Saccharomyces cerevisiae S288C: one gene and its partner. The protein of the gene in region 2 interacts with the protein of the main gene of each other region in a pairwise test. Each region holds a gene or a part of one and is shown on either strand. Other genes may lie near its edges. The genes, in order: YDC1 and VVS1.

Region 1 (3,349 bases), on a different chromosome or scaffold from region 2:
GGAAGAAGCGGAAAGAATCGCCAAGGAAGAGCATGGTTCAGAGAAAATTTCTGTTATTTCTGGTGTTGGTGTAAGAAATTACTATGGTAAACTAGGATATGAACTAGACGGTCCATACATGTCGAAAAGAATTTAAAGGTAAATAGAACTTTTATGTGCCGCCGACATGGCCGGTTTTCCAAGCAGAAATTTAAATATATTTAAGTAAATAATTGTTTATACTATTCATTTATTAATTCCTTTTATGATGGGAGTAACTGCTGCATGTGTTTTCAGAAGAAAGATATTTTACGCCACATAAACATAAATTTTAGAATAGTCAGGCATAATAAAAAAAGGTGAACAGAAGGGAAGGAACGAAGTGTAAGCTCTTTAGTTTGTCACATATCTATATACAAATATACACGTTCGGTCAATTGCACGTACAACAATTTATATACATACATAACATATACGTACATATATTTTGAAGATTCAAATGGATGGCACAAAATCACTCCTTAGTTATTCTTTTTTGTTTCATCATCTACCTGTGTATTTACAATTGGCCCCAGATACTCCAGTGAATAAGAAGTACCAATCGGTAAGCCCTTTCTTACCAGCTCAGGGAAAAATCCCCACCTCCATATAAATAAGAAGTCATTTGGATTTCCATGGGTTAATATTCTCAAATATTGCAAATACACGACGAAGATATAGACACCAGTACCGGTCAAAAGATGCCACCAAGCATGCAGTTCCAATAGAACACCTAATGGCAGGGCCAAATATGTTCTCCGGATATAGATCCAAAAAGAACACAGGTGAATATCTAGTTGCCAGCAAATGAACCCAATGACAAAAGGAATCATGCCCATAACCATAGTAATAAAAAGATTTTTCTTTGCAAATGAATCATGAACGTGATAGTAGGTCAGCCAGCCAGAAAGAACCACAACTAGAAGCGTCAATATACCATAAAGGACTTGGAAAATTGCTGGCTTTTGGACGACAACGTAAATCCAGGTTAAAATGGTGACTATACCACACATGATAAAAGAAATGACCATTTGGATTCTAAATGAGCTTTCCTTCCTTTTCTTCTCATCCTTAATCAAGATTTCTTGAGTTTCTGCAAAAATACTCCACGATGGGATGATGGTCGCATACAGCATTGGTAGTTCGTCTAGCAATTGATAACGATACTGTAAAGTCATATGAAATAACCACGAACCAATACCAACCAGCGAGAACCCCATTCCTATCAATATATACCTTGTTTCTAACTTATTACGCCAAGCGCTATATGTAGAATAGAAGGCGGTCATTAAGAATATACTATTGGTAATAGTATTTGACCATTCTGCAATATAGGGGGATACGACATAATTCTCCTCGCACCAATCAATCAGAGAAGTTGGCTTGCCCCAATAACCTTCAATCGGGGCTTCTGGATAAGGCCAGCTGAACAGCATTTGATTTTTTTCTTTATCTTACTTTCTTAAAAATTCACTAGGTTCTATGATATATCCTTTTGCTTAAATTCTTGAATTGAAAAACGAAGAACAATGCAGATAAACCAGATAGTTATTTCCTTTTTTTTTTTCACTATTAGCAAATATTCAAAGATTGAAGCATGCAATAGAAAGAAAGCAAGCGAAGTAAAATAAGAAAGGCACACCTGTCATTATGGCATTATAAAAAGAAACTGATGGATAAGTTGCTTTCAGGAAATCTGATCCCCTGATTCTGTAGGTTGGCGTACGCTATCGGACATGCTATGCCACTCTCCGGGAACGAGGGATTTAAAAAAGGGACATGAAGTAATATGAGCCGAATGGCTACGATCAGTAAAAATCAGCAGGTGTCATGTTACAGTATATATGATTCTCGTTATTTAGCCTTCTATATATCAGTGGGCCCATGAAAATCTAACTTAACATCTTTGCCTCTGGGGTTTGTAGGGCTCCTCGAGGTACTTTATCTCTTCTTCTGTTAGAGTTACTTGTAGTGCGGCAATCGCTTCGTCTACTCTTGCTGTAGTGTTCAATCCCACAATAGGGTGACATCCTTTATGCAAAACCCATGCAATGGAGAGCATAGCCATCGAGACTTTTTTGTCCTTCGACACCTTTTCCACACGATTTATAATTTCCTTTTGTTCTTCTTCGAGATTATCCAAATGTAACGACTTGAAAGTTGGATCACTCTTAATCCTGTCCGTGCTTTGGTTCAGAGGACGAGTCAACATGCCTCGTGCGTTAGGAGACCATGGAAGTAAACCAATATTGTGTCTTTTGGCAAAAGGAATCAATTCGCGTTCATCTTCACGATAGAGCAAATTGTAGTAAGACTGCGAAGAAATGAACTGAAACCAGCCATATTTATCGGCTGTGAACTGCAGTTCTGCAAATTCAGTTGCCAACATACTCGAAGCCCCAATGTATCTAACGTGGCCCGCTTCAACAACATCATTCAATGCCTTCATGATCTCTTTCATTGGCGTTTCATGATCTAATCTGTGAATTTGTAAAAGGTCTATATATGTGCCCAGTCTTTTCACAGAGTTCTCGACACCAGCAATTATATGCTTTCTGGATAAACCCCGCTGGTTGGACAAGTCCAATTCTTCAAATTCATTTAAAGTGAAGTTATGATGCAAATCAAGCGTTTCATCAACTGGGAAGTAAATTTTGGTCATAATCACCACCGTTTCTCTCTTTATACTGTAGTACTCCAGAAACTCCTTAATTATTCTTTCACTCAAACCATTAGAATAAAAATCTGCTGTGTCAAAAGTACGAAGACCTTTATCGTAACAATGCTTCATAATCTTGAAAATTTGGGTCTTGTCCTCTATGACCCAGTCCGCCCATTTCTTGGACCCGTATGACATACATCCTATCACTATCGGTGATATCTTAAGACCTGAGTTACCGAGTCTTACCTGCTTAACTAAAACCATTTCTGCCGCCTGATGTGGGTCTTCCGTAACAGCCAAATTACATAGTTGGCAAGACAATTAATATATGATACCTTGTTCTCTGGGTCCTAATATATATATATATATATATATATATACGAAAAGGCTGAGAAGAATAAGGCAGATGTTAGCTTAGCTTCTTTTACTCAAGCAATGAAAACAAAATCGAAGGGAAACAAATTCAAACCAAGCGGCCGAGTTATCTCCCGTTCCTAACCTACTACACTAATCACATTTTTCCGTGGAAATAACGTTATTGAAAATGCGTTCTTGCCTGCCATACGTGGGTGAAATACTTCCACGTTCGCAAAAAATACTTCCACGGTGACGAAGTCTGTCTCAGTCGTATATTAAATGCAGAAATCGTCTTATCATTATTGGGCTCTC
Region 2 (4,240 bases):
TCTCTGCTGCCTCTTACTATTGACCATTTGGTTCTAGTGCGGATATATATATAGGCTATATATATACGTGGTGAAATGAAATGAAAACGCTTTTAAAGTGTGCAGAAATTGTTATAGCTCTAACCCGTAGTATTAGTTCCCCATATAATTCCGACCGAGAAAGGTGCACCCACTTGTCATACAAATTGTACATATATATATATATATATATATATATATATATATATGTATATATTATACCTGCAAGCAATTGCACGCGAGTACTCTGCGTGAGTCAAAAGACTGTGGTAAAATGGTACCCATCTGATGCAGGAATTCCGACTCTTTCAAGCTAAATGCCGTTTCATTTTGGCACGGATGCATTCGCAGATTGGTTGGAAATCCGCATACATCAAATGCGCCAAGAGGGCTGCCATTGTATATTCCTTTTCTCGGCAGTCCTGCCGGATGCATTTATGCCGCTAAGACGCAGAACCGAATATTGGGCTCAGGAAAATATGCAGATAGACGCTCGCCCGTGAGCGACTCATGACGCGCGTGTGCTATTTTGGCCCCGGCAGTACAAGCGGTAGTCATGGTTTCCGCCACACGGATCTCATACAACAGCAATCCATTTGGTTTGCCTAGTTCCGTACATATACATAGATACTAACTAAATGAGTGCATATACTCATGTAGCCGTTCGTTACTAGAAGAAGAAGAAAATAAAAAACAGATGAATAGCTAGAAAGAAGTAAAAAATAGTTGCTTAGGTATATATGACTGGCTACAGATCAGTAGCCAGCCCAAACCTCGCTGTATGTAGTCTTGCCCTTTGTCTCGGGTACACGCTTGTACACATATGTAGCAAACATGGCAGCGATGGCGGCGAAGATCGCAAATACGTAGCCGCCCATGAGGCCGTGGCCTATCGGGAAGAGGTATCCGACGATGAAGGTGGCAAGCCAGTTGCACACAGTACCAAAACTTTGAGCTGTAGCGGCATCCTGCGGGTAGGATAGCTCACCAATGATCAAGAAGGGGATGGGTCCCAGACCGATGGCGAATGCGGCAATATAGACAAAAGTGGCCGTGACCAGTAAAAAGGATACGCTCAAGGTGAGACCTACACTGATCAGCAGCGACATGGCGGTCATCACCGTAGTCGAGGCAAGCAATAATGGACGGCGCCCGACGTGGTCGATGATCGCAGATGCTGCTAGAGTGACAACGACATTGAGGATGGAAATGGCAAAATTTACCTGAATCGAGTAGTCCGGTAGAATCTTGCCGATCACTTTTACACCGTAGAAGATAATAGAGTTGATGCCGCAAAATTGCTGGCACGACAAGATGGCGAGTATAACTGTGCGCGGTTTCTTGTATGAGGGATCGGTAACATATTGCCATAGTGTGGGTCCTGAATGAGTCTCTTCGCTTGACTCCGGGTCGCGGTTGTGCCCATGGCTACGCTGCCAATCCTGAATTTCTTGCTTCGCTTGTTGGTACGTTCCTGGACGCAACTTGAACAGAGCAGTTTCAGCTTCCGAGACGAATCCGTGGCTCACCAGCCACCTTGGAGATTCGTCCACTTTGAGCCAAGCTAAAATATTCGCTACCGCAATCACGGATCCGGAAAAGAGAAGCCACCTCCAGTTATAGGAGTCTGCGTACTTGAGTGCCAAGGTTTGGGTCAGCAGGATACCTAGATTGATAGAAACCTGATTCATAGATCCCATAGCGCCTCTCCACTCCACGGGGGCAATCTCGTTGATAAATAAGGGTGTGATCACAATGGCGGTGCCGCAGGACATGCCTACCAGGAACCTGCCAAATAGCAACTGCAAGTAGGAGTTGGAAAAGAAAAGCAGCAGAGAAGAAACCATGCACATGGCCGAGGCGCCCATGCTCACGTACTTTCTTCCGTATCGGTTGGCCCAGTTACCGGCGTAGTACGACCCAAACAGTCCGCCTATGCTGAATATAGACGTAATTGCGCCGTATTGAGAATCGGTTAACGCAATGCATTGCTTGAGTCCGTGTTGCCCAACCCAAGTGTCATCGTATGAGATGTTTTCGTCTGGTGCCTCAAATCTGGAGCACGATAAGAATTCTTGAGGCGCATTCAACTCTGCGATGTGGTATCCGTACTGGATCGACCCCAAACAAGCAACTATCGTGCCCAAGATTAAATGGCCCGTAATTAACGGTTTTGTTTCGCGGGAACCACCGTTAGGCATTAGTCTTTCAGTTTCAGCCATGACTTAGTTTGTTATGCCTTAGTCTCTGTGTTTTGTTGTTGTTCCAAGAGAGAAAGATATTCAGCAACTTTTGTTCTCCTGTTATTCCCTTAATCAGGAAGCAACTTTAAGGGAAATCCATTTCATCCCTCACACTTCCCATCTTTTCTCGGACAACCTTACATTACGCCTACGACGTATGACTACACAAGCAAGTTCGTTTTACAGACCGCGTATCATTGCTCGTTACAGCTCTACCAAAAGTGTACCGAGCACTGTGCCCAGAAGCTAAGCTTTTTTCGCTAACATATATATATATTTAGGTAAATCATTTACACTTTTCGTCGATCTAAAAGCTCATCGCATTTTTTCGGTCCTGATGTTAAAAATTTATTTCGTTTATTAAAAAAAAAAAAAACATTACTGAAACGTATAAAAGAAAAGTCTTAATCTATAAATATGGTTTTATCATAATTAGACTGTTTTACTCTGTCCATTGGTCATTATAAAGCCTGAAAATACCCACTGAATGGTTTTTTTCGCAGGAGCAAACCTTTTCCATTTCTAATAAACCTTCTGCACTATTTTTATTCTCATAAAAAACAATTGTCAAAGAAAGCCTACATAAAAAAAATATGACAGCAACGATCACAAATAAGAAATCATGCTCTGGTTCTGTTGAGGCAGGAAAGACACGTTTAACAACTGAATGGAAGCCTGAAAGCCAAGTACCCCAATATGTTAAAAATGAGCTCTCTAAACCCCATCCAAACTATATCCTGGCGTTTTTGAACGTGGTACAGCAATTAAAAATTCAGAGAAGAACCGGTTATCTTGACCTCGGTATTAAAGAATGTGAAAGCATATCAGATCACATGTACAGATTGAGCATAATCACCATGCTGATCAAGGATTCGCGGGTTAACCGCGATAAATGTGTCCGGATCGCATTGGTGCACGATATCGCCGAATCTTTAGTTGGCGATATTACTCCAGTTGACCCTATTGGGAAGGAAGAAAAGCATCGTCGGGAATGGGAAACCATAAAATATCTATGTAATGCTCTGATCAAGCCATACAATGAGATCGCGGCAAAGGAAATTATGGACGATTGGTTGGCTTATGAAAATGTCACCTCATTGGAAGCTAGATACGTGAAAGATATCGATAAATATGAAATGCTTGTACAATGTTTTGAGTACGAGAGGGAATACAAAGGAACGAAAAACTTCGATGATTTCTTTGGGGCTGTAGCTAGCATAAAAACAGACGAAGTAAAGGGCTGGACAAGTGACCTTGTCGTGCAGCGCCAAAAATACTTCGCCGATTTGACTCAATCGATAACTAAATAATTATCATAAATACCAACTTTTGCGTCATAAAAGTACAAAGTAACTACCAATACATAATCTTCAACGTACTGTCCATAGGTTGTCGTGGCCAAAGATGATAGCGCCTATAGCGTGTCTTCCAAGTAAAGCCAAAATTCCAATGCAGAATTGCAACTTCAAGATTGTATTGCACAATTTGTCTTCCCTCATAGGGCCAAACCATACTAATGTCAAGTTTATTAACGTCATATTAGAGGTGCTAATAATCTCATTATTTTCATCAAATTCCAGGTCAATCAAATGGAGACAGTATAGTAACTTCAAGATCGGTTTAAAAATGCTCTTTGGCGGTTCTTCTTTTAAGTTTGCTCTTGATGGATACATTAAACCGTCTTTTTCATTAAATTTAGGTAACCTATGTCTCGGGCAGGGGACCAATTTGAATAGCTGAGGACATGAATAAATAAAATTAACGATTTGAGGAATGAATAGCAAAAGCATCGTCTTTGAAAAATGACCCAGTATACCAACGACTGCGAATACCATTCCAGCGAAATAACAATATGTATCTCCCACAAACACTGTGGCGGGCCAACGATTCCATTTCCATAGCGCCAAGGATACACCCAAAAATGGGATAATCAAAACAGCGGAAAACCTATGGGAGTCTCTTGTGGCTAATGGCCCCAT

What was found.
Region 1: the proteins of VVS1 (region 2) and YDC1 interact in a protein complementation assay, tested with the Saccharomyces cerevisiae proteins (one large-scale study listed by BioGRID).

The regions. Positions count from the first base shown.
Region 1 is NC_001148.4:381,560-384,908, reverse strand, and holds YDC1 (alkaline dihydroceramidase), read right to left. Parts: upstream 1,455-3,349; coding exon 501-1,454; downstream 1-500. Other genes in the region: Elongator subunit ELP3, read left to right, coding at 1-136; YPL088W (aldo-keto reductase superfamily protein), read right to left, coding at 1,916-2,944.
Region 2 is NC_001134.8:701,816-706,055, forward strand, and holds VVS1 (Vvs1p), read right to left. Parts: upstream 2,241-4,240; coding exon 774-2,240; downstream 1-773. Other genes in the region: THI2 (Thi2p), read right to left, coding at 1-27; YBR242W (5'-deoxynucleotidase), read left to right, coding at 2,855-3,571; ALG7 (UDP-N-acetylglucosamine--dolichyl-phosphate N-acetylglucosaminephosphotransferase), read right to left, coding at 3,632-4,240.